4 linked regions of the Caenorhabditis elegans genome follow. The protein of the gene in region 2 interacts with the protein of the main gene of each other region in a pairwise test. Each region holds a gene or a part of one and is shown on either strand. Other genes may lie near its edges. The genes, in order: taf-11.1, flh-2, src-2 and odd-2.

Region 1 (6,787 bases), on a different chromosome or scaffold from region 2:
ACGGTTTTTGTTTTTGGATAAACTCACGAAACATCGTAAACTGAAAATATATTCGTCATTCCACCCAGAGAAATACAAATTTTCAATATTTGCACAGTCAAGTTTAGCATTAGGACACAAAACGATAAAAATGAAGAAATGAATAGGCTTCGTTCTGCAGTTGCGCCTGTTTTCTTGAAGACCTTAAAATTGAATGGTATAGCAGGGATGAACAGTAATTGGAAATTTCGGGCAGTTGCAACAGTTGCCAAATATGAAAAAAAAAAACATTCGATGGTTTTTGAATTTTCAACTTAAAAAGTGAACAATAAAAACAAATTTAAAAGCGCCTAAATTTGCAGAAAATATTACTTTTTTTGGGAAATTTTAGCGCTTGCCGATTTTCGAAAACTTCGATAATCGGCAATTATGAAAAATTGCCGCGCACCTCTGATTTGAAAATCTGAAAATTTTGTACCGTGTTTGAGCTTTTCTTCCAATTCTTTTTAATGAGTATCATTGTTATAATGTAACAAATCATACAAAATGCACAAGTCACCAAACAACACATTCCGTCAATGTAGGCAATTAGCTGAAGTTTGAACAATAATTTTCAACTAATATTTTTTTTTGAATACCGCTGTTGAAACTGCATCGTTATTCAGCCGCATTGCAGTTGGAGTAATGAGAAGGTAAAAGTCAAAATTGGGCCACGCATGTGTTGGCAGAAGTCCAAGAATTGGAATAGACCACTGAACAATGGCTATCCGCTGCAATGTTTTTGTACCCCATACCTGAAAGACATAATAAATATTGAAAATTTTGGAATTTCAACAAACCGAAATGTTATCCTTGTCGTATGAAGACACCATCAAAGCGGTGAAAAGTCGATTAACAGCAAAAAACAAATAACCTATGTAGACAACAAGCTGGAAAATGTGCATTTGTTGATTACTTTTATTAGCAAAGTAGCTACGTTAGTTGCTTTTTACATAACTCCGAAATTCAAAAAATTGAACAGAAAAAGTTAAAATTTAGCTATAACCTCCACTTTTACTAGCCTATACTAGATAGCTGAAAGATAATTTTTAATAAATTTATAATTCATTTTGCACATTTTAATCGTTAATTCTACGGGTTGTGTTGGTGTTTGTATAATAGTTTGTTGACTTTCAGGTGCACAAAGCATGACGAATTTTGGTACTTATGAGCTTTAACATACATTTTCTCAAAAAAGCCGGAGTCTCTACGTACAAAAACGTGGAGAACTAGTAAGCTCAATTACCGCATTATTCATAGTTTACTCTTTTTTTGAACTATGTTTTAACGACTTTTAACGACTTCTCAAGGTCTGATTATGAAACTCGGCGGATTTATTTAATTTTTGAAAACGTTTTCCAGATCACTAAAAAATATACCTTAATGTAGTAATGTATGCCAGAAATAATTCGCGGAATAATACCAATAAATACTGTATCTGGCTCAAACAGCATGTAAAAATCTGTATACTTTCGGAACCGCATTGTGATCGAAAATTCGATAAAGAAAACTAATTCAGCGTAAAACTGTAAAGAGTATTTAATAAAAAAGATTTCTAGGAGAAAGTTATTATACCTGCAGCTCAACAAGCTTGAAGAAAGTTCCTCCGAGAAGAGATGTTTTTCTATGTTTTCTAAGTGTTCTCACAATCATTGAATATAAAAGAGCTGAAATCAGGCCTAATATGAAAAGCAACGTTTGCTCCAAAGGCATCGCGAGTCAGACTGGTCAGAGCACATTGAGAGTTGGCGAGTGTCCGTGTCAAACTAAACTGCGCCGACATCTACAATTATGTAACGGCAAATTGTTGATCACTGCTTTCAGAAAAAATAAGTTGGTTAGATATATTTCTAGTTAGTTCTATGTTGATATTTGTGCACGTGACATTTTTTGAAATGTCAGAGAAACAAATTTCCGGTCAAAATGTAACTTAAAGTTTTCTGTTTCCACATAGGCAGTCAGTGATTACTTTTTTTCATTAGAATCTGATTATATGTAAAACAAAGCAATAAAAATGAAACGGAAAACCAAAGAAAAATAATTATTCACTCAAGATGGGATTGTTTCGGACCAATTGGTGGGAATAGCTTTCCTTGCTCTCCGAGCCGGAGGAACGCTTGACGAATATGATGCGGCTGTAGTGGATTGCTAGCTTCTTCCTCATTTATGTCACGAATATCCAATGCTTCTTCGACAACTTCACCGACGAACACCTTAGCCAATCCTGCGATAGCGATGACCACACTCTGTCCAACGTTCACTCCTCCAGTGTACTGACTGATCAAACGGCGAATAGTCGACTTTTGGAATGAAGAGCTGAAGTTCATCATTTATTATTTTTTTGTGTTTTATTACCAATATTACCGTCTGTATGACTCATATCTTTCCAGTTGCTCTTGTGAAAAGTTGGAAAGCAAAACTTGTGTCTTCAATCGCGAAAGCTCATTTTCTTCTTCATCGTCAAGTTTCCGCGCTGGACGAGCTGGTGCTGGACGTGAGGGGCCAGGCCTGAAAAATGAATAAATTAGATAATCGAATGTGCCAGCGTGTTAAAGGAGTTATATTAATTCTGGATTCTACTCATTTATATTTATATACTGCTGCGACACGCAAACGTTGCAAAATTGGAAATGTTGGCTAAAATTAGTGTTTTCTCAAGATTGTGAACGGTCAAAAAAATTTGAGGAAGTTTTTGAGAAGTCTCCATACGAAATTTGTCCGTTTGGGTGCTTTTTGTTCTTATATAAACGCATCGATACTTCTTCTATAAAATCTTACGCTTCTTCTTCCGGCTGATGTTGTTGAATCAATGCTTGGTACCTTGCATCGTTTACTTTGCTCAAGTCGAAGCTTTCCAGCGAAATGTTTGTGTCCAGAAGGTCGTCGTCTCCCTGTAATTGAAAAGTGTTTCATCGGCGATTAATATTGGGTAACCAATATATTCAGTCCATTTCTTTTTGAATTAGTTAAGTATCACAGATTTTACGTACCGAAATCTGCCCGCTGGGCCCAGCTTCAGAGTTATCATCATGACGTGGCTGCTTTCTTGGTGGCTCGCTTTTTGAAATTTTATCAATCTACAATTATATTATAATTATACATCGTCGGGAAACAAGAAATGACTCACTTTTCGCTTCTCAGCAGTCTTGGCGGTTTCCGCAGCTCTGTTCGCCTCCGCAACTCTATCAGCTTCAGCTTCTCGAGCAGCTTGCTCTTCTGCAGCAGCGGCCGCGGCAGCAGCGGCATTCCGTTTCATCATCATCTGGTCGATGTCCGGCATATCCATAGAATCCTCTCCGTCGGAAAGTGAAAAGACGACTGGTGCTCTCGGTGTGATCGGAGTTGGTACGGACTCCTGTCCCGGCGAAATTTGGTTTTCGTCAGAGCGCATTCCATCTCTTGAAAAATCCTCATCTCCATCGTCATCGCTGAAAAAATAATATGATATAATTTTAATAATATAAGCAAAGATTACCTGAGCTCCAAATCTGCAAGCACATTGTGAGCGCCTGTTGGTTGTGGCATCACAGTGTCGTCGTCTTCGTCACTGCTCCCACTGCTCTCACTAAGGCCACCAAACAAATCGTTGGCATTCATTTTTATTCTATAAAACAGACAATAAAAAATGGAAAAAAAAAACCGTCGTTATTCGTGAGAAAAATGCAAAACTGTATTAAACCGGGCAAAGAGTGTGTGTTTGAATGTGTGTGCAGTCGAGAGGACGCGGCAATGGAGAATTCTAGGCCAGCGTTGTGTGGAGAGCGCGTCTCAGTGTGTTGGTTGGGAAGACAGAGGTCAGTTTATCGATTGACGAAGGGCACTCGAGACACTGACGATTTGTCTAATTGAGAAACACAATGGTTGGGAGGAATAAGAGGATTAACATTTGGAGATTTTTTGTTTTACCAAACAAATTTCATACTCATTAAATTTTTTTTTAATTGATGAAACTTGAGAATTCGAAAATCCAAAAATATCAACAAAAAAAAATCTGAAAAAGCAGAAATTAGACATTAAGTTCACTGAAAATGTGAGTTCTTGAAACACGTGTACCATGAAAACATTTGAGAATATTTCAAATAGTCTAATCATTCAAATATAGCAGTACTATTTTAAATAAAATTTTGTGAACTTTTGGACCAAAAACTAACTATTTGTTTGTAAATTAGCACACTGATACTTGAAATTAGAATTCCAAATACGGTTTTTGGAGATGCGTGGTGATCTTGCCACATCCGCTGCAATGACAATACATTGCATTCCCATTTGCATTAATTTACTGTGTTTCCCATACATCATTGGGTCTTGATCATGCAACTGCTATATTCATTCACAAAAGCCAAACTGGGTTCACTCTGATAAGTTTACTACAAAACAAGGTAGTAAAAACCGGTGAGTTCAAAACTCTAATGATTTTGCTCAAAATTAGACTTTATTATGAGAAAGTCGCTGTAAAAAAATTTTCACAATGTGAATTTAAATTTCCCATTGTAATTGTTCATGAAATTCTTTGGACCTTCCGTTGTTCCTTAGTAAAAAACATTTTGTTTCCTGAAAAATTCAGCTAAACCCATAATTCAGTTGTAAATTAAATGAGTACACATTCAAATTTTTTATAACAACATTCCAAACAATAGTTAACAGTGACAATGCTGTTTCAAAAGTGCCTAAAACTACACGTAAACCAATTAAGCCAGCGTCCTATTTGTTGTTTTCTGTGTGGCGGGAGATACAGTATGCCCAACCCGTATTGTGTTCACCGATGCATCGTCAAGCTTGAAAGCCCTGAAATTTAAAACATTTTTTGAAAGATGCTACCCTTCACCAGATAAATATTACGTTCGTAGGAAAATTTTTGTATCGTAAATCATTTGCTTCCTCAGAACTCCCGACGTGACTAATAACGCCCATGGAAAATGGGAATACATAAGATCAATCATAGGATATCTGAAAATTATTAAAGTTTCACCAGCTGTTTGGGCACAGCAAAACACTCTTATATATTTAATGTGTTTGTTCTAGAAGGTCGAATGAGATTAATTTTTTTCCAGTTCCTGGTTTGTGATGACAATTTTCTGGAAAAACTATGACTTACGAGAGGTCTTGAACAAAAAGTAATGTTGTCGCACCACCCCAGGATATTAAAATGGTAACAACTTGTACAGCAGTGTTCAATATTAACACGATAAATGATAAAATGGCGGAAACAAGTAGACTTCTTTCTGCAGCAGATTGTGCATTGTTTTTTCGGAATACCTTAAAGTACAGATATTTTTCTAAATGTTTTTAAGGCTGAGATTTTGATTTATGTTAGGACGACAATAGCTGGAAGCACCACCTGGGGAGGCTGTTCCTGACTTTCTGATCCAAAGTGGTAACGGATCGTTCTTTAAAGTTTTACCAAAATAAACTTTGAACTCAACAAACCGTGTCAGTTTTCACACGTTTCCAATTTTTCCGTATCAAGAAACACGTTGCAGTATAGCAAATCATGCAGAAAACACACGTTCCAAGACAACAAATTCCGTCAACGTATGCAACAAGCTGAAATTATAAAGTAATTATTATCTCAAATTCTCAGTAAGCATTATACCGCTGTGGATAAGGAATCATTTGTTAATCGTATAGATGAAGAAGTTATCATAAACCAATAAGTAAAACCCGGCCAAGCATGAGTTGGTAGAATTCCTATTAAAGGCAGTGCCCATTTCACTATTCTGACTCGCTGTAAAAGCTTTGGAGTCCAAATCTGAAAAAAACATTTATTTGTAATGAGTAATTTTGAATTGGTTGAAAAACATGCAAAACCACGTTGAAACTGATAATGACACACGAAGGAAACTCATTGACAGATCAAGAAGACTAGGGCTAAGTATTGAAAGTTAATGTCATACTGAAATATTCACACTGTTATATGATGATATATTGAGTGCGGAAGTGAGTCGATTCAGAGCAAACGTTAGATACCCAATGTATACCACAATCTGAAATAAAATAGAAAAAATAGAAAAATGTAATTTTTGAATTCAACCTTACCTTAATATAATAATGAAATCCAGACACAATACGCGGAATGATACCGTGAAATTCCGTGTCTGGCTCGAAAAATGCATAAAGCGAGCTATATTTTCTGAAGCGCATGGTGATTGAAAATTCGACGAAGAAAAATAGTTCCGCATAATACTGAAAATTAATCTTTTGATATTTCTCCATAATATAATTTTCTTTCTGGTGAAATTTCTGATCAAGTGTGATGTTTACTTATATTTCAAAGATCTACCTGCATTTCCACAATTCTAAAAAAGGAACCGCCAAGTAGAGCATTTGATCGATGACGTTTTAAAGTGAAAACGATCATAGTGTAAATTAAAATTGAAATTAAACTGGAAATGAATAAAAACCATTGCAAAGCCGGCATAATCTGAAATAATATTGAATAGAAAAGTAGTGTTAAGTTTTATGGTGCAGTGAAGTTTCTGGTAATGTTAATACAAATTAAAAAACTATGAAAACTATAACACGAAACTAAATAAGTATGAAAATAGTTAATAAGTGGAAACTGTATAGTTGTTATGTGATTTTTTTTCTTAGAAGGTGATACATTAGTGTGAATTCCCAAGTGACTTGTTATCCCCATATTTTTCATTGCTTTTATTGTTTCCACTTCTATTGGAACACTTGTGAAAAATAATACTTTAAAGAAATATTAGAGAACGGAGTCTGAACACCTGCTCGGACCTATAACTTATAACTATACCGCAACCGTCGT
Region 2 (8,031 bases):
TAGATTTATAATAATCCATTGTCACCGAGCACCATAATAAAATACTCCAAATACTTTTTTAAAAAGATTTTTCAAAATTTCCAAAAAAATTAGGAATTTTTGTTTCACAACTTTTAAAAACAAATTTTAAAAAAATCGTATTGTTTTTTTAAATACTTTACATTTAATTTTGGAGGTTAATTTCCAACGGATCTAGATCAAAGTTGGGAGAGCAAGCTGGAATAGTATAATACTCGTAGAATAATTTTTTGAGTCTTTAAAACCTCCAATTGTCTTTCCCTCTTTTCGCTTAAAATGGCTGCCTATATACCTATAGGGTAGGCCTATTGGTTTCCTATGCCTGCTAGTAATACTTGAATCATTTTCCATTTACCTGTTAAACTTGCAAGAATTTTGAAATTCGTAGATCCAGATAAGTGCAAACATGGAGTTGACGCCAGAAAGCAGAAAGTAGGCGGTAGGCAGGCAGGTCAGCAGACAGGCATGAAGAGTACTAAAGCCTACTATAACTTACTAAACAAGCCGTAACCCGTAGGTTGAAATTTTTGACAATTTGATAAAAACTATATACCCTCTATGAGATGAGGTAAAAGGTGTACTGTAATTAGAGGATCGAGAAGTAAATTTAATGTTTCGAAATGCACAATTTAGTGAGTTTAGGTATTTTGACCATTTCCACAAAACTCTGAAATTTTGATAGCTCACAAAAATGATGTCTTTTAGCTTTAATCCGTTGGTGCCTAAAGATTAAAATTAAAATGATGTAACCAAGATAGGAATATTATTTTCAAGCTGAAATTTCTATCTGAGCCCTGTAAAACTGCTCCAAGAGATCTTTTTTGCAGACTTCTGTGATTTTAATAGACGAAGAGAAGTAGGCGAAAATTCCGAAAGCTTTAAGGAAATACATTTTTGAATCTGAAATTTTTTTGACTTCACTTGCGCGAGCAATAGATTCAAAAAACTTAGAACTTTAAAAAAAAAAATGAAAGTCTTCAAAAAATCTATCTTTTTTGGAGCCTGATGTTACATTGTCTTACTTTTCTTGTAAACTTGAAAAATCTAGATCTATAACCACTAAATTCAGTGAATATTTTCATTTTTCCCATCCATCACCTTTGTTTTTTGCCGTACTAGGTGGTGATGGTGACACGGGAATATGGAGAAAAAAGAGGCGTAGAAGAAGAAGAAGAAGCGGTGACGATAATAGGTACGTTGGTCTAAAGAAAAAGAGAGAAAGAGCTTGTTTGGGTGGTCTTCTTTTCTTTTTTTTCTGCTTCTACTCTCGCTCCCCCGTCCTTCTCTCACTCCACCACGAGCGCCTCTATTTTGACTGGCGCCGCGTCGGTCATCTGACTGCTTCTCTCTTTTTTTCATTCTTTTTCTCTTTTTCTCTCTATCCATCTTTTTTCGGCGCGCGCTTCTCCTGGCGCTTCTCGTGGGCTCTGGGAGTCAGGTCCCTTCTGCTTTTTGGCTCCGCTTCAACGGAGTCATTGAGCTCACGAAAAGGGCATTCCAAGTTGGTATTTTTTGGTTTAATATTTATATTTTCTAAAAATTTAATTATATTGTTATTCATATAGTTTTTTGTAAGCTTAAAAAATGATTGTTTTCGTTAGTATCTAACCACATTGTAATAATTGAATATTTAATTGTTTTTTCCGGTCAGGACTTTACATATTATTCATGTTAAGCTAACTTTACAGATAATCATAAGTTTATGAAATTAACAAGAAAAACCGCAAGTCTTGTACAATACTTTCGCAAGTTTAAGGGTCTGCAGACCGGCCTGGGCTTATGATTGCTCTTAGGATTAGGCTCAGGCTCAGGCTCAGGCTCAGGCTCAGGCTCAGGCTCAGGCTCATGATGAGGCCTAGGCTTAGGCTTAGTTCGTTTTTTTTCAGATTGTCTTGATTTCTTAAAATTCGCGTCATTAGACGAAATTCCCGCTAGGTATAGGCCGCCTCCGACTGCGTTTTTACTTTTTTGACCAATCTACCATCTAATTCTAGGGTTCTTTCATTATCTCTGTCACTTTTTCATTAAATTTGTATCTTTCAAAAGTGATGAATAACTGAGTTAAACCAACACAGCATGGCGCCAATAAATCGTCCGTCGCCGCGTCCTCCTCCCTCTCTCCTCCGCCGCGGCCGCTTCCCGACGCCATTCCGCATATATTTAGTGGATTCTACTGATGTGGAGCCAATGGAAACCGGGAGAGGGGAGAGGCTCCAAACCGGCGGACGGACCCCTGCTGCGACCAGCTGGCGCCTGGCGCGACCATTTTGTTCCCCCTCACTGCATCGTTTACTACTAGTGCAGTCTCTGTCAAAAGAGCACACTCTCTTCCATTTTTTATGTTTACAACAACTCGAAGAGGGCAATCTTAAACTATTCATTGGAATTTTGGAAAACATCGGAACATTATCTAAATATTTTTAAGAAGTCTACGAATTTTGAACTTTTTGAAAAAAAGCAATCTAGCAAAATATTTTCAACTAAATAACTTTTTATCATATGTTGAGGAGGTTTAGAAAGATTGAAAGCACTACAATTAGAGGTGAATTGGAATGTCCTTGTTTGCTCTCTGATTAAAAAAAATACAAGTTCTAGTAAAATAGTTTTGTAGATCCCAATCCAAACCAGAGAAAACTCATGATCTCACAATTTTGGAATAACCCTATCATATTTTTTCAATTCTCCGATGGTACCACTTCCTTTTCTTCTATTGCACCTAAATATTAATATTCCCTTTACTTTTGTTTTTTGTTCACCTTAATCGCAATTGTCACTTAATTCCTCTATTAGTACGCTTCTTGCATCTCTTGGATTTGTTATTCAAATGTTCTAAAACAATTGAGACATACCGTGTAGATAGTTTTGAATTCATCGTATTTTCCATTAATTTTCCTCTTTTCAGACCGCCTGTATGGTGGACACCATGATGAACACAAATACAGATGGTGTCACAGCGGTTCCTCCGATCTTTCCACTACCGTCGACGACACCAAACAGAAATAATAATAATGAACTGGCGATGTTGGCACAGAAGCAAATAGTCGCCGGATTACTGTTACAACAACCAACGATTGTGCAGGCAGCGGTGAATGGAACCAATTCGCAAAAACATTTGGCAGATATTGACTATACGAATGTTATTCAGGTGAGAGATGGGCTCTTTGTGGTTTTGACTCCTTGATTAATATATTGAGTTATAGATGTGAAATTGATTCTCTTGAAAGACTTTTTAGATATTCATGTTCGAGTAAGTCTATCTGTTATTTTTCAGACTCTTCAAGCCCTTGGCACTACAAATCTAAAAGCATTCTCTCTACTTCTTGATCCACAATCCCAAACATCTCAGTTAATATCTGAAGATACACGTCCATCTGCCAGCTCATCACCGTCTTCAACTGCAACTGCAGTATCTAACAGTGGACAATCAAACGCAACATCCACGTCATCATCGTCCACAGAACCCGAATATAAACCGAGAAATGTGCGAGAAAAAGTGTATGCAGATGGATATATCATGTCATTTGATAAGAAATCGTGTTGTGGAACTAAAGAATTTTGGAGATGTGAACGAAAGAATGATTGTAATGCAAGAATGCATTCAGATATCAATACACGAGAAATTGTGAGAAAGTTACATCCACATAATCATGAGAAACCGTCGCCCGAAGAACTTGCATTTTATGAGCAAGATTTCTCTACTCTCCATCCAAATTATTGTCATCCAGTGAAAAGTGTGAGTTTTTTTGAGCTAAAAGATTTATGGTGAATATTCAAAACTTGAAATATTCAAAATAGTTAGAAATAAAAAGTCGAGAAAGAACGAAAATGTATGTACGCCGAAACGTTATATGTATTTCGATTTTTACTAATCGCCCTGCTTGAACTTCCTCTAAAATGATAAATGTTAGACCAATCAGCGATTCGCTCCGCTCATTTTCCAACCAATCAGACGGAGTGGGCGGAGTTTAAAGACGCAGTGGGCGTGGATTTTCATCGCGGGGGGTTACAGGGAAACCAGCCAAAATAAAAAAGTTTTTTTTTAGTTTTCGGTAGATCCTGTAGGCAGGCAGGTAGGCACAACACTTATTGTTAATAAAACATTCGGATTATGTGTAACTGCTAATTTCATGTTTTTTGATTTAAGAATTCCAAAATTTCCCAATCTTTTTTAAATTGAAATCTTTTAGATCAACCGATCCTACATGCAACGAAAACTGAGCCGTGCCTCACATGTATCACAAGCTCTACCAATTGCTCCACAACAAATTAAAGCTGAACCAATGGAAGTTGACACGACAAATCAAACAATTCAAAACTTTCAACAAAACAATAATTTAATGCTTCTCGCCTCAATCAATGCAGCAGCAACTGCGGCTGCAGCTGCAACTTCTGCTGGAATAAGTCCGCCGGTTGTTGGACAGAAAAGAGTATCAACGACTGTGATGCCTATCACTTTGAAATCGGTTTGTTTTTCTTGAATAATTATGCTTTGTTCAAACATCATAAGGTTGGAACTTTTCAAAACTATAGGTTTGAGCCAGAAAAACGGAAATGAACTAAAAAAAATGATACGAATTTCTAAAATTCAGGGCCAAATTCGAAAATTTCGAACAACTTTGGAATTTCTTAATATTTTCAGCAACGCACAACTCCTAAAGAAGAAGAAGATTCATCTCAATTGATGTCACAAGAAGAATTCCGTATCACTTACGAATTGACCAAAAAGCTCATGGAAATGATGAAGCCAAAAACTGAAATTGGAGTTCGATGGCAAGGAGATGAAGGGTCAATTCTTTTGTTCTTATCACATGATAATGGAGCAGAAGAGAATGTCTTCTTTCCGGTGGTTGTCATGAATCGTGATGAGGTAAGTAATATAATTTCTGGAAGCCCGAAAGACTGAAAGCAGAAAACAATCAACAATTATTTCCTAAAAATTTATAATTTTCAGAAATCCCTAATCACTGCGTTAGAAGGATTCACTGGCAAACGTTGCGAAGGAAAACTTGCTCTGTGTTACTCACAGAGGGTTAATGTGCTTGTACATGAAGCGGTAAGCGAATCAATTTTCTAAGACTAGACATGAGCCCTGGTAGAGTTTTGCTACGTGGCGGTGAATATGAGAAAACTCTTCCACTTTTCGAAATTTAGCATTGATTATTTGTATTTGTTGTAGGGGAAGCTCGAAGACCTGTGGGAAAGCTCGAAGATTTTTTCGAAAGTTTGGCAGTTTGTCAAATTTATCCTACAAAAAATCTAAATCAAGTCATTTTTTTCTAAGCATTTCTGAACCTTTCAGCTAATCAGCAATTGGACACACGGAAAACTATTTCTCGTCAACACTGATGCACCGGCTCTCTGGCGTCTAACGCCCGTCGACGCTTTCGGCGAGCCTTTAAACCATGTCTAAGTGATCATTATTCAATTAATCGATAGTTTGGAGTCATGAAATTATAACTTGACCGACTGCAACGTTTCGCTGCACGCTACATTTTATTAGTTGTCATGAACCTATAATATCGAGCTCCCGGAGCAATCATATAATTACAAATTGTAAATTTTTTTTTAAATTTATTCCAGCCATTTTCCCCTCTCAATACCTCTCCCTTATCTTGTCTCTATAATCTTGTCTGTTTCTCAACAAAAAAGCTCGTCGTCAGGTCCCCCATTTCCGGATCTCATTGTGAACTTTTCAGAAAAGTTCGCAAATTTTCATATTCCTTGTCAATTCCAATCTCTATGTCTCCCTTTTATTGTGCTCTTTCCCCCTTATAAAATTACGGAAACCACCCTCTCCAACTCAGGAAAAAACCCCCTTTATATGCTCCTTTTCTTTTGATAAAATGATATCGTTCAACTAACAATTATCCCCTGATCACTTACATCAATAAATTGTTTCTATGAAATAAAAATATATATAAAGTGGACAATTGAACATGAATAAGTAAAAAATGTTGCTATAATGTCACCATTGTGTTCTAGCATTAGTATGTCTAAGTCCATGAAAAATTGAGTACCTAATCGTAGCAAAGAGATGAGAAATAACCAATTTTGTCATCAAGTTCCGAATTCATCAAAAAATATCACAAAAGAGCTCCAACATGCTCCAACAAATACTCATCAAATTTCGTGACATTTTTGTCGAGTTAGAATCTTCAAGAGCCGAATTAATAGATGTTGCTCCTCTAGTAAAAGTGAGTGTTTGTGTTTTATATGACAAAATTAGTGTTTTTTTAATTTTGAAAACTATTCTTACAGCTTGTCGATAAACTCGGAACACGGATGTTCAATTGTTAACTTTTCAGACTGGCGGTCCGCATAATTATGGGCCACCCTGTAGTAAGGGTCGGTCTAGACTCCAATTATACATTATCAAAAATATGTAGAAAGAACATGACGCTCATACAATTGTGGCTGTTACATTGACGATTACATCAAAAACGTTGCTAGGAAACAAATTGAAACGTTTTTTATCTTAAACAATAGAAAACATGTTAGCTAAATATCTGATCGAGACATAATTATTGCTTTAAGTGTGCGAAAATCAAGTTTTACTTGTCAAGATTGTTTTGACCATCTTGCAATTGTTCTTTAGAGATATGAGAGAAATAGTGCAGTTGTAAATTCGATCATTGCAACTGCAACAATCATTATCAAAATTGAATAGTGTTGATATCAAAATACATTGAAGATCCTTGAAAATTGAAGATTACACAGATGTAAGTCATTGATAAAAACTGCTTGGTTTGAAACAATGATTCAAGACTGATGATAGAAATTATTCCGAGAATTTCAGAAAAAGGTATGGCCGGAGAGTACCTTGACAGTAAGTTCGTGACTCAACTAATCGCTCAAAGCTCTATTTCAATTCCTTGGACCATTGCTTGAACCTTCTGAAAATAATATTTGTGGAGGTCAAACCGTACTGAATCATCGTATTCAATCGAGTTGTCAGCATAAGATCTGATACTTGTCTTAGTTTGAGAAGAATGAAAGAATTCATACAAACTTGCACACTCTCGCACGCGCAAAGCTTTTCAATTAACTTCAAACCTACGAAGTACGCACAAAAATGTTATCCTGTAAGCCTTCACGGTGACCTACGGCTGCTGGGAAGGCAGTCATGAGACAGGCACGTACGTCTGAATAGTTGATTTGACATGGAAGCTTATGTCGGTTTCTGTTTTCGTCAGAATGATCAGTTTCGATTTTAACACTTTGCTTTTACACTTTTTTCTCTTTCATTTCCAGCTTCTAATTCGAAAAAATATTTTATTATCGTTTGGGTGAACGTGTTTTCGCTATTTTTCTTGTTGGGTCTCGCCACGATCTCTATCATTTTAGCTTCTAAATAAACTTCAGAAAATCGTACATTTAATGTGGGAATTAAGATTTATCGGGATTTCACACTCTAAAAAGACAGAAATAGCAGTGAGATCCTGGTTTTACCCGCAATTAAAAAAAAGGCATTATTCATCAAAACCTATGGAAATTTTCGAAAAACGTCATCGAAAAAATAATTTCGAAATGTTCTGAATCTATGAATATTTTAAATCATTAAAAAAAAAATTCCACGTAGTTAGTAAAACCTTTTTGAAAGGTAAACTTACGCAGTCTGTGACAAAATTACTTCATTTTTCGCTTAACTTTATCAATAATACAATGGAAAATGAAAGGAGTCGCTTTAAAGCTGGTCCCTCGGGTTAATGCGACATCAAAAAATGGATGCCTTAAGGAGGTGGACAATGCAACGAAAATCAATTCAATATGTGAAAGTGCTCCGAACACAGCAAAGCTTCTGCACTCTTGCATCTTCCCGAAGATCCCAACAACTGTCTGTTCACAATATTCATTATCGCCACATAAGACTCATTTCGCGATGTTTATGGAAATGTGTGGAAGTGAGCTGACTGGAAGAATCAAGTTTAAATCAGACGAACAAGTCAAAAGTGTAATATGCCAAATCATTTTTTTCTTGGTCGCTGCTCGAAAGAAGAGTGGATACTCGCACAA
Region 3 (10,374 bases), on a different chromosome or scaffold from region 2:
ACATGCTGACGTCACATTTCATCGGGCAAAAAATTCCCGCATTTTTTGTAGATCAAACCGTAATGGGACAACCTGGCACCACGTGCGCTTGATAATCACAATTTTTGGAATGGAAAATCCTAACGCTCATTGATCACTTTTTCGTTGGAGCGCATTTGCAATAAAGTATAAAATATCGAGTTTTTGTTAGAAAAGTTAAAAAGCCGAAAAATTGAAAATTGGACTCAAGAAAGCACCAAAAAATGCGAAAAATTGCTAAAAAATAATAAAATTCTTCAAGCTTTTGAACTAAAGCCACTTCCACTGTTTGTGTGTGTGTGTGTGAATTTGAACTTTTTACCTAGACCCCCCTCCTCTCCTCGATATCCCTCTTAATATTTGCCGATCATAAAGAAATGTTTGAAATGTGATCAGGTTACTCTTACCTGGATCTTAAGCCTGGATCATAAGAAAAATCAATAATTTATTAAAAAAAAAACAGTATTGAGCAAAAAAGAACACACACAGACAGAAAAAATCACAAAAAAAACCCGTAGCTGCTGTATATAGGCACCCAAAAGTTTCTCTCTCTCTCTCAGAAATTTATGCTGGCCTCCTTATACTCGGAAGAGTCCAGATTGAACAGATCCTCCAACTTCCATTGGAGGGTCTCAAAGGTTGGCCGTTTGTCCGGGTCGCTTCTCCAGCACTGTTGCATTATGTCGTAAAGGGTGACTGGGCACCCGGCTGGGCACGGCATACGGTACCCGGCGTCGACTTGTTGTAGGACTTCGGCGTTTGTCATACCTGGAAATGGTAAAGAGGTGTCATTGTAGTGTGATCTACATAAATTGCGGGGGGATTTTCGCTTTAAATTTGCCATTTCATATTCCCAAATGGTTCGTAAAGGACCAGTTTAGTAACCTAGACGTGGTGTCAGGCTGCCCCATTTCGGTTTGATCTACGTAGATCTACTAGAATTGCGGGCATTTAGACGCAGACTTTTCAACTGATAAACGTGCTGAAGTCACATTCTTTTAAGGGAAAAATTACCGCATTTTTTTGTAGATCAAACCGCAATGGGACAGCCTGACACCATGTGCTCGTGTGACCTCCGGAAATGGCGGGAAATTTCTTTTTTGAAATGTGTGGCGTGTTTCTGGGGTACTACACGGTTTGATCAACAAAAAATGCGGGAGTTTTTCGTTCTAAAAATCACTTTAGAACTCTGCGTCTCAACTCCGCGCATTTTTTGTAGATCTACGTAGATCAAACCGAAATGGGACACTCTGACACCACGTTCTACAGTAAAACTTAGGCTACATCGCATTTTTCAAAATTTGAATTTTCCGCGATTCCCGGAGATCAAACGGCGAAGGGCGCAGGAATATTCCACATTTTAGTTGACGCGACCTATTCCCAAAGTTTTGCGAAATTTTCAAGGCCCCTTCAATAAGGGACTTAATTTTTATAATTAGCGAACTGGTACCATTTTGTAAAAAAAATAATTTGACCTCAATAAAAGGCGGGATGTTAGTTTTCAAAAAAGCTCATATGACGTCAAAATTTTTAATTCAAATTCCCGCCACTTCTGGAGGTCATGCGGCAATGAGACCATCTTACGTTGTGTCAGGCTGTCTCATTGCGGCTTGATCTACAAAAAATGCGGGAATTTTTCTCCCAGAAAATGGTGACGTCAGCACACTCTTAACCATGCGAAATCAGTTGAAAAGTCTGCGCCTAAATTTCCGCAATTCGTGTAGATCAAACGGGTCGGTTCAAATCCTCACCTGGATAGGGTAACCGTCCGAACGTGACAATCTCGGTGAGCAGGATTCCAAAACTCCAGACATCCGACTTGGTTGTGAATCGATTATAGTTCGCCGCCTCGGGCGCCGTCCATTTTATCGGAAACCGTGCTCCGGTTCTTGCTTCGTACTCGTTCTCCTTCATCAATATCCTGGCTAACCCGAAATCTGCGATTTTTACAGATAGGGAGTTGTTGATAAGGATGTTTCGTGCTGCTAGGTCTCGATGGATGAAATTCATCTCCTCTAGGTAGGCCATTCCAGCGGCAACCTGCAAAACTTTTTTTGAAATTTTTTTTTAATTTCGAGGAATCCGAACGTGAACCTCACCTGCGCCGAGATCTCCACCAGCTGAGGCATCTGACACTGCCGACCTCGTCGCTGTAAGAATGTGAGCAGATTCTCCTGCATTAGCTCGGTGACTATAAGAATCGGCTCATCACGTGTGCAGACTGCATACAGGGACAGAAGCTTCGGATGCCGGAGCTTCTTCATAATCTGTGCCTCGGCTAGGAAATCCGTAGGATCTGCGGTTCCGGCCTTTAGCTTTTTCACAGCGACGGGGACGTTCACATTCCATCGGCCTTCCCATACCTGGAAATTGATGGTTTATGTAGTACATCCAGGATCTGCAAGCTGATTTGCAAGTGCGCTCTAATTAAAAAATGACAAATGTTCTCACTAGAGCGCACTTAAACATGCAAGCATAAGGGGGGGGGGGGCGGGGTTAGGTAAAAAGTTCAAAGTTCAAACACACACTTTAGTAAGCTGTAGTAAGAATTTTCGTATGTTTAGCCATTTTTCGCATGGTTTTGAAGCTTCATAGATTAAATTTCTTACAAAACTCATATTTTCGTTCATGCTTGCAAATTTAAGTGCGCTCTAATGAGAACATTTGTCATTCATTTTAGGGCCTTGCTATCTATATTCGAGGTTGAGTTTTTACTCATGGTGCATCGACATTTCCTTATAACCCTAGTGGTAAATCTCTATGTTCCAGATCCCTTCGTTTTATGAGATCTCCTAGCGGAACTGATGTTTGTAGGGGAGTGATATCATGTTTCAAACCGGTCCTATCTGTTTCAATATTGGCGGCTGTAGCTGCTCGGATCAGGAGATGGAAAAGTCAATAGAAAAAGGGGAAACCGTTTTATCCGGTTGTTTTAGGATCTACACTAAAAGCCCCTGGATTAAGAAAAACACGGAAAAATAAAAGCCTGAAGTTTTTTAGTCCATAGGCTGAGAGGTTTCTGGGAGTTACACTCAAAATAAAAAACTAATATTTAGGCCCCGCCTTTTTCTCGTCCGCTCACGGAGAAAAGGCAAAAATATTGACCCTAACCAATATCAGGCCGCCGACATCTCACGGGTTTCGCGCGCCGCTGCGTTTAACTTGCTGTGGGCGTGACGAGCTGTCTCCGCCCGCTGCGAGTTAAACGCAGCGACGCGCGGAACCCGTGAGATGTTGGCGGCCTGATATTGGTTGGGGTCAAAATTTTTGCCGTTTCTCCGTAAGTGGACGAGAGAAAGGCGGGGCCTAAATATTAGGTTTTCTGCAGTACACGCCACGCAGTTTTTTTTTATTTTGAGTGTAAAGTAGCGCCTACACGGATTTCTGGCTCCCCTCATAAATTGAGATGGAAGAGTTTGCCGAACAAGGCCATTTTGGATCGGCCATATCTGGGGTAGAATTACGGCGCGTTGCGTGTCGCGTCGCGGCTCGATTTTAGTTTTAAAACTTGTTGTAGTTGTCCGTGTGGAGTGCACGATTTTCCCACGCGTTGTCCAGGTCAATGGAGCGCGAAAAAATCAATAAGGAAGGCCAGAACCCCGTGCGCCTAGAAATATCAAGAAAAATTCTTGCTCATGCGATTTTTTGGGGTTTTTTTTACAAAAAAACCTAAAATTTTTCAGGCTCTACCCTAACAATTGTAATTTGGGGCTACACATGGTGCATCGGGGACCCACCCCCCCCCCCCCCCCCCTGCAATTTTCCCCTAAGATCATCTCCTTACCCCCACTCAATTAGCATATCTTCTCCTGTTTATCTCGTTCTCCATCAATTCTCTATACACACACACACACACACACACACACACACACAAATATACATCAAACACGAACGGAATAGGCAACAGGAGGAGGAGGAGGAGGATGAGCCTGTGCACACTATTTGGCGGGCTGTGGGGCTGGCGGGCAGGCAGGCAACGTGAATAAGCAAACAACCGAAAGAGAATGATGATGCTTACCTCTCCAAACTGCCCGGCTCCAATTTGTCGAATGAGACGAACCGAACGGCGGTCCACTTCCCATTGGTCATCTGGAATGGGAATTTTGAACATTTTTAAAGGTAACTGGGCGCCTTGTGGGTCCCTGGAATTGTTTGGCCTAGTAGGTAGGCACAATAATGCCTGCCTACCTTTAAGTCAACTTTGGCCTGAATTAGGTTCGCCTTTTGCCTACTGGATTTACCTAGGTTTGTAGTAGGTATCTAAGCATGTAGTAGGTATCAAGGTATGTAGTAGGTATCTAGGCAAGTAGTAGGTATCTAGGCACGTAGTAGGTATCTAGGCATTTGGTAAGAATCTAGGCATTAAGTAAGCACCTAGGTATCAGGTAGGCATCTAGACACGTAGTAGGTATCTAGACATGCAGTAGGTATCTGGGAATGTAGTAGGTTAATAGGCACGTAGTAGGCATCAAGGCATTTGGTAGGCATCTAGACATCAATAAGTTACCTAGGTATATAGTTGGTATCTAAACATGTAGTAGGCATCTAGACATCAAGCAGTTACCTAGGTATGTAGTAGGTATCTAGGCACGTAGTAGGTATCTAGGCATGTCGTAGGTATCTAGGCATGAAAAAGGTATCTAGGCATGTAGTAGGCACCGAGGTATCTAGTAGGCATCTAGGCAGATGTAGGCACCTGTCAGGCATAAAAACTTCCAGCTTACCATATGTGAATGTCGTTGTCTGTGGGGCTTCTGACTTGGCACAAGGAGCTCCCAGATTCACACAAAGACCATCGGCTTCTCGTTGGTAATGTGCAATCAGGTCGTGTAACGTGGCAAACGGGCGCCTCCGGGCGATAAAATACCCGCCGTGGTCCAGTTGACGGATACGGTAGTGCTTTACGCTGTCGTTCTCTCGGACTGCAAGAAAATTGGGATTAATAGGGGGATTTTGGACTACAAACTACAATCTTCAAATTTAAGAAAACTTGGAATTTGATGAGTTTGTTTTTTTTTTGACAGTTTTTGGAATGTTACAAAGGAAAAAAAAATACTGAAATATTATAAATTTGAAAAATTCAAAATTCCCAAAAAAACGTTTTTTGGTAACTCTCAAAAGAGCTTTGAAAGGTTTTCTACAAACTACAAACTACAAACTACAAACTACACACTACAAACTACAAACTACAAACTACAAAGCACGAAATACATATTTTTTTATAATTTTTCAGAATTGTAAAATTGAAAATAAAGATAAAAACTTTTTGTAATACTTTCAGAAAAAATGAAATCTATCAGTTTTTCAAAAAACATTTATTAAAAAATTAGAAAATTATTGGCAAAAAATTCAATAAAATTTTTTTAAAAAAATCGAAAATGATTTTTCGAATTTTTTAAAAAAAGTTTTAAAAATTAAATAAACATCTATGTATATTCCATCTATTTTTGACAGTTTCCATCTAAATTCCCCCATCCCAAATTACCCATCTAAACCCATCAAAATCTCCCAATTTGCCTCCTTTCTCCCAAATTCCCATTACTTTCGGAATCATAAAAGGTCGGGGCGAGCGGGGATAACCTCTTTTCTGCCTCTTACTGTCACCGCGCCTTTCTCATTTTGTTGTATCCGACCTTGATTATCTCTCCCAGAAAACCGGTTTTCGCCCGCCATGTGCCCTATGGGGCGCCCTTAAAAGTTCACTGACCTGATAATGATAAATCATGCTGTCGACTTTCGGAATCTCTCACTAAAAATGCTCCGTGCTCATTTAAAGTGTGCAATAGACATTTTTCCGCATCGATTCGCCGCATTTTTCCAAAGTACCACCTGGAAATTTGTAAAAATTTAGATTTTCGGATTTTTAAAATCTTATTTTTTGAATCCCTGTAACTCTGCAATAAAGCAAGCTATTAAAAAGTTGTCAACTATTAAATTGTAGCAAATTTTATGTTCTACAGTTTGCTAGTTGCCAACTTTTTGATATCAATCAATTTTAAAAAGTTATCATAGTTTTAAGGCCTACACGGATTTCTTCTAGAAATCCCTATAACTTTTTAATGGTGTTAGCTATAATATTAAAAAGTCGCCAACTAACAAAATATAGGGAATATTAAGTACTTGATTTTAGGTACTACTACCAGTGAACTACAAAATTATTCGAGTTTTAAGGTTTTAATGTGAGTTGGAATTTTTCTAAGTTTCGTAAAAATGTTATTTTTTTCAAAATTTCGTTAAAGCTATGTAACTCTACAAACATTAAGTTACTGAAAAGGTTCAAAATACGAAAATGTAGTAAATTTTACAATTAACATTTTGTCAGTTGACAACTTTTGCCGGTAAAAATACACTTAAAGAGTTGAACCATTTCTACGCCTGCTCTGATTCCCCGCTGACACCTCTAAAGTGCTATAACTCTTCACTGGTGCTAGCTATCAAAAAAGTTTAAACTAACAAAATGTAGGAAATTTTCTGCTCTACAATGTGCTAGTTGACAATTTTTTTGTATCTCACAAGCCAAAGGAGTTATGACAGTTTTAGTTACACCTGATCAAGCCCCTGTGACAACTAACAAAGAGGCGCTGGATAGCTCAGTAGGTAGTGGTAACCACCAGCAATCTGGAGGTCACAAGTTCAAGTCCGGCCTCTCTCCCTAGGCTGGCTAAAAATTCAAAAAAAAAAAAACTTACGGCTGTGACTCGATACTTTTCTCCCTGGCAACATAATTCGACGGGATATACCCAGTCCGTCCAGTTGCCTTGTGCCTGGCGAACCACCAGTCTCCTTGGGTATCATTTAGAATTTCAAGGATCTGAAAGAATGAGATATGGAGTTTCAAAAAATAAAATAAAAAACTAACATCATCCTTCTTAAAACTCAAATCATCATCTGTCCGTGCATCATATTGGAATAAAGCGACAAAATTCGCAGATTGCGAGATATTCTGATTTTTATCAATCGTATTTCCACTGGAAGACGCCGCAATCGGACCGATGGACGGAATTCGTGGATGACTTGGCAGTGACTCCCTTCCCAACGTGGATGACGTGTGGACTGGTGACGTTGCACCAGGCGGTGGATCCTCTTTTCCAATACAGGATCCCATGGGGAGGAACGGACGATCCTGGTGTCGTCAGTTTTTTGATTTGGGAGGTTCTGGAAGAAATTTAGATAGTTCTGGTTCATTAGGGTTCGCTGGACAAAATATAGCGTTTTAAAATTGTCAATTAGCAAATTGTAGATCAAAAAAATTAAATTTACTACAACTTGTGAGTTGACAACATTTTGATAGACACTAGCACCAATTAAAGTTATAGTTATAGGGGTTTCCAGGAGCCAGGGCAAAATAGGTGTGGGCGTTAAACTGCCATGAATCGTTTAAATATATATATATATATATATGCCAATTTGTTTTTTGATATGCCAATTTGTTTTTTGATATGCCAATTTATTTTTTGATATGCCAATCTATTTTTTGGTATGTCAATCTATTTTTTGATATATATATATCAAAAAGTGGTCAACTAAAAAATTGTAGATTTCAAAGCTTACTTCGTTTTATCAGTTAAAAACTTTCTGACTACTTGACACGCTGGGGAGCTACAGGGTTTATAAATCCAGAAAATTCATTTTTAGCGAAACTTTAGGTGGGAATTTGGAAAAATGCAGCGATAAATGTCTGCTGCACAATTTAAAGGAGCCTGGAGCATTTCTTTGTAAGCGATTAAAAAAAAGGGCCCAAGAAAACTTGCAAAAATTTTTAAGATGATCAGTCAAGTAAAAATAATTTTGGACTAGTTTCAAAAAAGAAATAACACAAAACTTGTGAACCAATAAAATACTTAATGCGAAATTTTCTTATATTTCTTCGTTATGGGGTTTCAGGGGCAAGCTAGGACTAACTAGCTGTATTAAATCGACTATAACACCTTCAGATTAATAAATATAAAAAAGTTGTCAACTAACAATACATTACGCATAAAATTTGCTACATTTTTTTAGTTGACAACTTTTTGACATCTAGCCCCAATAAAGAGTTGTATGGATTTCTAGGAGCCATAAAAATAACTTTCTGGACTACTACTATATCTATTTTATCCTGAAAAATATGAAAAGTTGTCAGCTAATAAAAATCAAAAAATTTGACCGTAAAATTGGCACTAAATTATAATATATGAGTTACAACTTTTTCAATATATCAATCTTCTAGAGTAGAAAATTCAGTTTTTAAAGTAAAATTTCAAGCTAAAAGGTTACAATAAAGCAGGAAAGGAACTCATAGTATTAATCGAGAACTATTATAATTTCAGTGCCTAGAATTTAAACTGAAATTTCTCTCGAATAAAGTGAGCAACAAAATTTAGGGATCAAAGTTTTTTAGGCTAACAATATTCCGACAAGGTGTCAGAGTGTCCCATAACGGTGTGATCTACAAAAAATGCGCCAACTGTTGTCGCACGGTTAAGAACGTGTTGACGTCACAATTTTCTGGGCCAAAATTCCCAGTTCCAGGAGTTTTTCAGCCAAAGCTAAAAAATCTTTTAAAAAAGGCCTAAAAACTATGTTCCAAAGTAGTAGTATAATCTAAAATTGGGGGACCTAAAAGGAAAACTACATTTTCTATCTTTGGCGAAAATTGTATAATAAGAACTATGAAAATACAAAATATTAGGTAAAAAACCCAAAAGCCGGAAAGAAATTCATTTAGCCGGTTGCTGGCTAGCCCACCGTCTTTGGGGTGAAAAAGAAGAGGGAACTGTTTTTGTCTCATTCTCTCTTCATCCCTCTCACTATTTGTCCACCGAGGTCAGGCATCTCTCTCTCTCTCTCCCTCTCTCCGCCGCGCCGTTTAGCAAACATTTGCGGAACGCGCGTGCCTTAAACTCCCAATTGCAGGTAGCATACTGATCCCAAGAGACGCAGACCTACAAAAATGGCAATTTCGACAGCAGCGGAGGCGCCCGCGCGCTGGTGGGAAAACATCTTTTTTTGCGCGCGGAGAGGACAGGGAGAGAGAGAGGATGATGAAGCTGTCATTATCAAATTAGATTTGATTAACAGGCTAGGGATTTAAGCTTTCATTGGATCGGTAAACTTTTTATTAAAATTTTTCAAATTTTTTGAGAAAAAAGAGCGAATTTCTGGAAAATTCTGGAAAGTTGCAGTAATTTGAGAACGGCTCCAGAAAAGAAAACTTCAGGAAAATGTGTAACTGCTAAATTTTTAGTTTTAGGAGTGCTTTGGATTCTAGGATTCTACAAATCTAGAAAAGATGATATATTTGCTAGTTAATAATATTTTGGTCGAACAACTCGGTGTCACACAGCATTCTCGTAGATCTAAGTAGATCAAACCGACATGGGACGGCCTGACACCACGTGCGACTCAGTTATTCAAAATTAGTCGATAGAGCGCACTTTGCCGACTTTATAGTTTTCTGTAAAAGCGGGCTACATGTAGCGACAGACAATTTGCGGGCGGGAATCTAATGTGCTTTATTCAAAATCTTTTTTATAATATTCCAAAGAATCAATAATTTTCCAAAGGATCAGCCACTTGAGATGTTCATCCGTATAGGATGGTTTCGGGATTTCCAGAGGGGCTACCCTTTGGGGCATCTCATCGGAAATCTGAAAAAAAACAAGAAATTGAATTTAAAGGTGCCCAGCTGTCCCATCACGGTTTGATCTACAAAAAATGCGGGATTTTTTTGCTCAAAAGTTCTCTGAGCATGTGTGAGCACGTGAGCACGTTCTTAACCATACAAAATCAGTTGAGAACTCTGCGTCTCTTCTCCCGCATTTTTTGTAGATCTACGTAGATCAAACCGAAATGGGACACTATGAGAGATGTGAGCCTCAACCAATATAATTACGTCTGAAAGGGTGTCATCGTCGCGGACTTCTGAAAATTAAAAAAAATATATAAAAAAATTACATATTCAACTCACTTCTCGGCTTCTTCTTCTTCTTCCTATCCTGAGCTACTGGAACCGGCTGAGCTAGTTTCGTAGCTTTCTTCTTATTGACTTGAACATATATTGGCGCACTTTTTCCGCTTCTCAGTTGATTCTTTTCAGTCCGCTCATCCTGAGCCAGTGGGACCCCGGGAGCGAGTAGCTTGTCATGACGATTCTCTCCTTTTTTACTCGACCCAACTGCACCTTCCTAGAATGAAAAACCTGCCTGCATACCTACTAGCCTATAATTGACACACCTTACTCATATTAGCACACCTTCAACACAACGCACAACCAAACAAATTGAAAATTTGTGAAATGATTATATTTTTTTAGATTTCAATAAAGTGAGTTTTTTTTTAAATCAAGATTTAGAAAAAATTTTAGGAAAAAAAAAT
Region 4 (6,400 bases), on a different chromosome or scaffold from region 2:
TCTCTATAATCAGCAACCCCACAATTGATACTCCTCCAATTATGAAAAAATATGTTCAATTTGAGTATTTTTCTTGTTAGGATTAAAGTGAAAAATTCTTCCAATAATAAATCAGAAAGTATAAGTAAACTTAAGTAAACTTAATTTTCCAGAACATTTCAAACAGTGAGAACTAGAAAACTAGTCTCTCATTTGAAATCAAATTTCCAATTGTAAGTTTATGTTTTTAAAAGGCTGTAACATTAAAACGTACATTTTTATCAATAACATTTTTGAAATAATTAATTAAACACAAACACATTTTTTTTGTTTCAGTTTATGCTTGGTTTCCAAAATATTCCCCTAAAAAACAACGACCATAGTATGTCATCAAATCAGTTTCCCACTAGCCTTCTATGATATCAGAATGACCTGGCACCCCCATTGCATAACGGTCCCATTCAGTGTACAGACTAAGTAGTGATTAATAAGGAGTTGGTAGGTTATGATAACCGACACAGAATCAGAAACCCGTGTGTACGGCTGAATTGGTCGACATAAGCGGGTTTAGCCAGCGTTGCTCGTTTATCACTACCGTAACAAAATTACTCTGAACTGTAATCGATTGGCAACATATGAATGATTTTATCAATGAGAGGATTCAGTTTAAAATTGGTATCTCACGTGATCAATGAAATATGAAACGATTATTTTACAATCAAAATGTTGAAAAGTAACTATTCTTTCAGTTTAGAATATGGCATTGAAGTTTATAGAGAATCACGTAGAATTTTGTGTTCAAGCTTTCAAGTATTCCAATGATAAATAACATTTTGCTGTTCGGTTTACGAAATTATTTTAAATCATCACATCATTTTTTTAATAGACCATATTTTTCAACAACTCTCAGAACTACCAAATGTCAGTAGAAACAGTCTGAAAATCATTCTGAATACAGTCAATTTTCTCTTCAAATTCTTGCTATTACAGAAACATATTTTGTATAGGAATCTTTAAAATATACCTTTCATAGCTGCCGATGAGCACTTTGAACAAGAAAATTCATTCAAAAAATGACTAATTTTTTAATACGGTTTTCATAAACCTGTTTTTTTTTGAACATATCAACAAATGATTAGATAATTGAAAAAAATAATGTTTTCGTCGGTTGTAAGTTTCTTAACAACACACAAGTTTAAAACATATTTGTGCCAGTTTGTCTCTAATATGACTCGAAAATATGAAACTTTTCTAAAAAAACACTAAAATGTATAAAACCGTGTGATTTAACGTAATTAGAATTAGGAATAAATAATTAATCAATAGTGTCAGAATTGAGCTTAAAATTCAGTAAATGTGAAAATTGAGCGATTTTTTGTTTCTAGTCCATTCCGTATTATGAAAAACAAAACATACACCACAAAAACATTTTTTAATGCAATTTAACTTTAAAAAACATTTTCATGATTTTCAAAAAATGGGATTTTTGAAAACATTTCTGAAAATCTCAAAAAGCCCATAGCAGATTGCTAGTCGATTTTTCAACTTTCTTCTCCCTGTTGCTCTTTGTTTTGAAGATCAGAGTAGAATAGTAGTTACAGAAATGCTTTAGTCTTTTCAATCACATATCAATACTAGATTTCCGGCGAAAAATTCGAAAATGACCCTCAAACCAAGTGGTAGTCTGATCGCAATGAAAACTTCTGAATAAGACAAAAAAAACTGAATTTAAAAAAATCAGAACTTGTTTATTTCTAAGCATGGCAAAACAAATTTATCTTCTAAAAAATACAAATAAAAGCATTTCTCACACGACAAACCAAAGACATACTAATGTTGCGAAACATTACTACAACATGAAACTATTCAAATATATTTAATTGTCTGAAAATTTACTATGCTAAATCTTTAATGCCCAACAAAAAAACTTAGTTAAAATATTTTCAAGTTTGGTTTTCAAACCAATTTAGGAAATATGTGAGATAATTAGGGTTTTCAGAGATTTGGAATGAAATCTGTGTGCACAGTTTCATGAATTAATAGTCAATGCTGAAACTTCAATGAGCTAGCTCAAAAATTTGCACATTGTGAGCCCTTTGCTGTGGAGCTCATGCTGCCTTCTATCCTCTTCAAATCATTTCCGGTTTGAAAACAGACACCCATCTGCAATAAACGGTGCCGACCGTGGATATTGCACATATGATCCCTTGCTGCCCTCTTGTAAACTCTATACACCGTATTGCAACGTCATTCAGAAAATGTTTTATTTTTGGTACAATATTGTATCTGACACAATCACAAATCTAAAACTTTGACCCTATCAAGTATGAAGAGAGAAGGTAAATCGAAAAAAATATAGACATATGAAAAAAAAGAGTAGCATATATTGGAAAAAACAGATGATCCTCAAGTAATACTGGACAACATGAAAATGTTTAAGCAGGAATGACAAAATTGACCGTTTTCATAAGAAAGCCTAGATGCCAAATACTAATTCTCAGCAGAATTTAGCGATCAGGTGAGATTTGTGGGGATGTCATAGACGTCGAATTAAAGCTATCAGTGAGATTTTGAAGAATTAATGTTACTCGTGGATCCAGTTCAGGGAGTGGTGTTTCACTTTTGATTGGTACAACTGGAGCTCCAATACTGTGTCGGTTTGGATCATGTGTTGCACGGTGGACGAGGAGAGTTCTTGATTGGCAGAATCCTTTCCCACAGATTTCGCATTTGAATGGCCTGTCCTTTTGGTGGATATACTTGTGGTCTCTAAGATGATCCTGACGACGGAATGCTTTTCCACAAACATCACACGAGTATGGTCGCTCATCAGTATGTGTCCTTTCATGGATCAGGAGGTTGTAAGACTTGGTGAAGTGACGATCACAATATTTGCAGATGAATTCCTTCTTTGGTCGGGCTGCTCGGCCAGTAGTCCTTCCACGTCCAGGGATCATGAACCTAAAACTAAATAGTTGAGATGATACAGTATAAAATTTCTTATCATCATATCGTACATTATGATACAAGAGCTTACCATGGTTGATCGTAAGGAACAAATGGTCGAACGGCTGCAGTAGTGAGCGTCGGGGACATTTTTGGAGACACACTTTCTTCTTTGATCTTCTGTTCAGATTCAATTGAATCAGCCATGTGAGTGAAGTCAAATTTTGCTTTCTTGAGATCGGTGATCATTGGAATTTCTGGATTCATAGCAAGCAGCGCCATTTTCCTCTGCTGCAGAAAATTTTGGAGTTGGAGGTGTTGTTGTGCAAGCATCATTCGAAAAACTTGTTCATTTGATTGAGGAAAAATTGATGTTGGAACTTGTCGTTGCCACGGAAGCATTTTTGTGTGTGCGGGAAGGGCTAGTGTTGATTCCAGCTGAAAAGAAAACAATTATTTCAAATTGATTTGAGGTCGCAAAAATAGCGGAACGAGCAAATACGATTTGAAAAGAGGGAAAAATGATGATACCGTTGGGCAATGTAAGAGAGCAGAATTCAGAAGAAGGAGCGATAGTTATTGTTTGCTCCTTTTCAAGAGAAGTTGTCACTTTGTTAACGAGTATTATCGTCTTATGGGGTAATCTACTACAAACAAATCTAAAAGGAGGAGAGGACTGAACAGGCGGAGCACAATGTTGCGGTGGTGGTAGGGATGACTGTCAAGAAAGAAGGAGGATCACTTACAACTCAGTGGGATACTTTGACTCTATGGTGCCGCTTTTTTGGGAGGAGGGCGACTCACATTTTACACCACGCGTCATCTATGAATTTTTATAGACTCGCTAACACTTCTGAATTTTGGAAACGGCGATAACGAATGATTGGAAATGGAAGAGGGGCGAAATTGAAAGAAATTCTTTGTGCTGGTCGGTAAGTAGAAAGGTTTTGATGGCTTGTTGATGCTCGGGCGCATGATATTATCAAGTACACGGCGGCTATAAAAACGGTTGGCTTCCGTGCTTCGGTCCTACATCAAAGGTAGCCGACGTGCACGGAGGTGTTAGGGGAGTGTTTACCAAACAGTAGAGGTGTATGTGACTAGAAGCTATCTATCTCATTTGCAAGTTATGAAATTGAAGAAAATGAGAACCACATTTTCCATATTGACTCATAGAGAAAACCAGCAGAAAAGAGTCGAAAAGTGTAGAAAAAGTAGAAAAAAGTAGGGGAAAAATGAGAAAAAGGGAAAGCCTTTTCGGGTGAAGACTCGCGGTGATATGCAAACATTAGACATTTTCAGAAGGAAGAAAGTTAGCAGAAAAAAAGAAAAAAATCACAGTTAAATATGGGCCTCTTCTATTGACAATATGATGATACTGTGACTTTGACTCTCCCCGTTTTTCTCACTCTATTTCGGCGATGTGGAAAGAAGAATGGTGCCAAAAAAGAAACTTTGGTATCAATGGGGAAAAACGAAAGCGGACAGGGAGCAGAATATCATTCTCAACCTATTGTTATGATAAAATCGTATCGCGAGCCACCTATTTTCCCGCTTTTAAACATCTCAAAAATTTTTTGCTTCATGTATAATAGTTTAAAAACAAGAAATGATACAAATTATGATGCATGCTGGCCACATAAAAAACAGTAGAACCCTCTTCCGTACGGTTGCAAAACACAATTGAAAAATGTGGGTAAAACGGCGGGAAATTTGTCATTGAATCATATTAGCGGTTCAGACTAATACTAATACAAAATTTTATATGCACTTTTGTCGAAAATTTGGGCACTACAAACTGTATAAAAGTTTGATCTTAATTTTTCAGCTTGAAAATGATTTTTTTAACAGATTCTCCAATATGGAATTTCCAAAAGTGGTACTTTTCAATTTAGTTTTCACAGAATGTGCTCGAATGAGCACTGTCTAACTTAGCTAGCTAGCTACTGTGTAACGATAAAACTGTTGAGTTAAGACAGTTTTTGTTAGAGATCTTCAACAACTCACACAAATAGTTGAAAAATTTGCAGAACCAAGTTTTCAGAACATACAATATCGCCTATACTTGGTAGAATGGAGGAACTGAGTGGCTTCCCAGAAGCAGACGGAGGCGGCCACCACCTCGTGTTCAGCTCGTCTTCTCCTCCGACACGCCCACTGTCTTTGCTGCTGCTCTCTCGGCGGGCGCTGGTTGACTGACTACGGTAGGCCCTGTGCTGCCGTGCACCGCCTACTTTAGAAGTAGAAGTAGATCTTTGAAGATTTCATGACACCCTTTTCAAAGAAGTTTTAGACCTAACTATACTTTTAAAAAACCGTGAAACTGTCTGGAGCGATAAGAAACATAAAAAGCGCCTTTAGGTCTGGATAAAGTTTTTCTAGACACACGGGAACCGAATCTATAGAGAAATTCAAAATTTTTGATTAGGTAACTGTAGTACACCAAAAACATAAGTGACATTTTATAACTTGACTGATGACAACTTAGGACATCTTGCACTATTTAGATAACATTTGCACGACAGTTATACACCTTTCTAGCTACTCGTTAATGATGAGTTATGGAAGTAAACTGTCCTATTATAGTGAACAGAAATTTTGAAAATACACATTAAAATTTGACATAAAAGAGAATGACTTGGAATATGGAGTACCGCGCGGCAGAAAAACCGCCCACTTTTTTTTGAGCAAACCATTTTTCTTGGCTATTCTCCGTTTGAATTTGGTTTCAAAGACGACGACAACTTTTTATGAAACCTATCATGTTGGGGTGGTACGTGTTCCTTTTATGACTCTCACTACATAAACGTTCCCTTTTGGTGCAACATGCCGACTAATGATAATTGACTATTATCTTTGAAAACACTAGAGGTGAGTAGATGGGATGATAGTTTAATGATAAAAAAGACTTGGAAAAAATGAATCAAAATTCTATTTACCTGAAGATTATCCACCGTAGTGATGCCAAAGTCAATCACAAAATGAAATAAGGTGTGAGTCAATGATGATTTCCGGAAAAGGTGTGCGAATCGTGCAGAACAAGGTTCTTTCTGTGTGAAGAAGAAAAAAGGGTAATGATAACAAAAAGCGTAGGCTTCTATTTAGTAGGTAGTTTTAGGGGTACAATTAATCCGCTTACTGCAAGTTAGGGAGGAGCGATAATGCTGACAAGATGCAGTTATCATGAAGTTTTTGACGCCAATGTCTCGGTTTTGAAACAAAAAGGACATATCGGCTTATAGGTATGCGAAACTTTGTCCCAAGCAGTGGAATGATGGGAGGAATGTGGAAATTTTTGTAATTTCCAAGTAAATTTTTAAAAATTCTATTATGTAATTTCCCATGTCGGTATCCTCATAACCTCTGTGTTGAAGACTCCAACCGGTGTGAATTGTGCATTTCCATTAATCCCCTCCTTGAAGAAATGATACTCCCGGCTCTCATCCCAAACAGAACCCCCACTGTTTCAGACAAA

Evidence for each region.
Region 1: the proteins of flh-2 (region 2) and taf-11.1 interact in a two-hybrid assay, tested with the Caenorhabditis elegans proteins (one large-scale study listed by BioGRID).
Region 3: the proteins of flh-2 (region 2) and src-2 interact in a two-hybrid assay, tested with the Caenorhabditis elegans proteins (one large-scale study listed by BioGRID).
Region 4: the proteins of flh-2 (region 2) and odd-2 interact in a two-hybrid assay, tested with the Caenorhabditis elegans proteins (one large-scale study listed by BioGRID).

The regions. Positions count from the first base shown.
Region 1 is NC_003284.9:4,252,005-4,258,791, reverse strand, and holds taf-11.1 (Transcription initiation factor TFIID subunit 11), read right to left. Parts: upstream 3,623-6,787; 5' UTR 3,616-3,622; coding exon 3,494-3,615; intron 3,447-3,493; coding exon 3,146-3,446; intron 3,096-3,145; coding exon 3,009-3,095; intron 2,910-3,008; coding exon 2,797-2,909; intron 2,527-2,796; coding exon 2,383-2,526; intron 2,335-2,382; coding exon 2,064-2,334; 3' UTR 1,980-2,063; downstream 1-1,979. Other genes in the region: srv-6 (Serpentine receptor class gamma), read right to left, coding at 28-182, 458-571, 618-773, 819-908, 1,398-1,544, 1,594-1,731; srv-5 (Serpentine receptor class gamma), read right to left, coding at 4,707-4,803, 4,858-4,965, 5,114-5,274, 5,446-5,562, 5,612-5,767, 5,913-6,002, 6,055-6,201, 6,299-6,436.
Region 2 is NC_003281.10:4,949,204-4,957,234, forward strand, and holds flh-2 (FLYWCH transcription factor 2), read left to right. Parts: upstream 1-2,920; 5' UTR 2,921-2,929; coding exon 2,930-3,163; intron 3,164-3,289; coding exon 3,290-3,751; intron 3,752-4,205; coding exon 4,206-4,481; intron 4,482-4,657; coding exon 4,658-4,885; intron 4,886-4,969; coding exon 4,970-5,071; intron 5,072-5,317; coding exon 5,318-5,428; 3' UTR 5,429-5,968; downstream 5,969-8,031. Other genes in the region: C26E6.1 (Protein kinase domain-containing protein), read left to right, coding at 7,688-8,031. UniProt on the Caenorhabditis elegans protein: Probable transcription factor. May bind to the promoters of target genes, including micro-RNA genes, in order to repress expression, and acting redundantly with flh-1 and flh-3.
Region 3 is NC_003279.8:14,319,036-14,329,409, reverse strand, and holds src-2 (Tyrosine protein-kinase src-2), read right to left. Parts: upstream 7,174-10,374; 5' UTR 7,124-7,173; coding exon 6,878-7,123; intron 6,830-6,877; coding exon 6,708-6,829; intron 5,848-6,707; coding exon 5,726-5,847; intron 4,941-5,725; coding exon 4,743-4,940; intron 4,108-4,742; coding exon 4,037-4,107; intron 2,382-4,036; coding exon 2,118-2,381; intron 2,059-2,117; coding exon 1,770-2,058; intron 787-1,769; coding exon 575-786; 3' UTR 445-574; downstream 1-444. Other genes in the region: F49B2.9 (uncharacterized protein), read right to left, coding at 9,513-9,647, 9,893-9,921, 9,968-10,184, 10,234-10,242. UniProt on the Caenorhabditis elegans protein: Non-receptor tyrosine-protein kinase which may play a role in larval and pharynx development. Unlike src-1, does not play a role in embryonic development.
Region 4 is NC_003284.9:6,157,159-6,163,558, forward strand, and holds odd-2 (Protein odd-skipped-related 2), read right to left. Parts: upstream 3,370-6,400; 5' UTR 3,328-3,369; coding exon 3,017-3,327; intron 2,941-3,016; coding exon 2,487-2,940; 3' UTR 2,219-2,486; downstream 1-2,218. UniProt on the Caenorhabditis elegans protein: May function as transcription regulator. Required for morphogenesis and function of the digestive tract.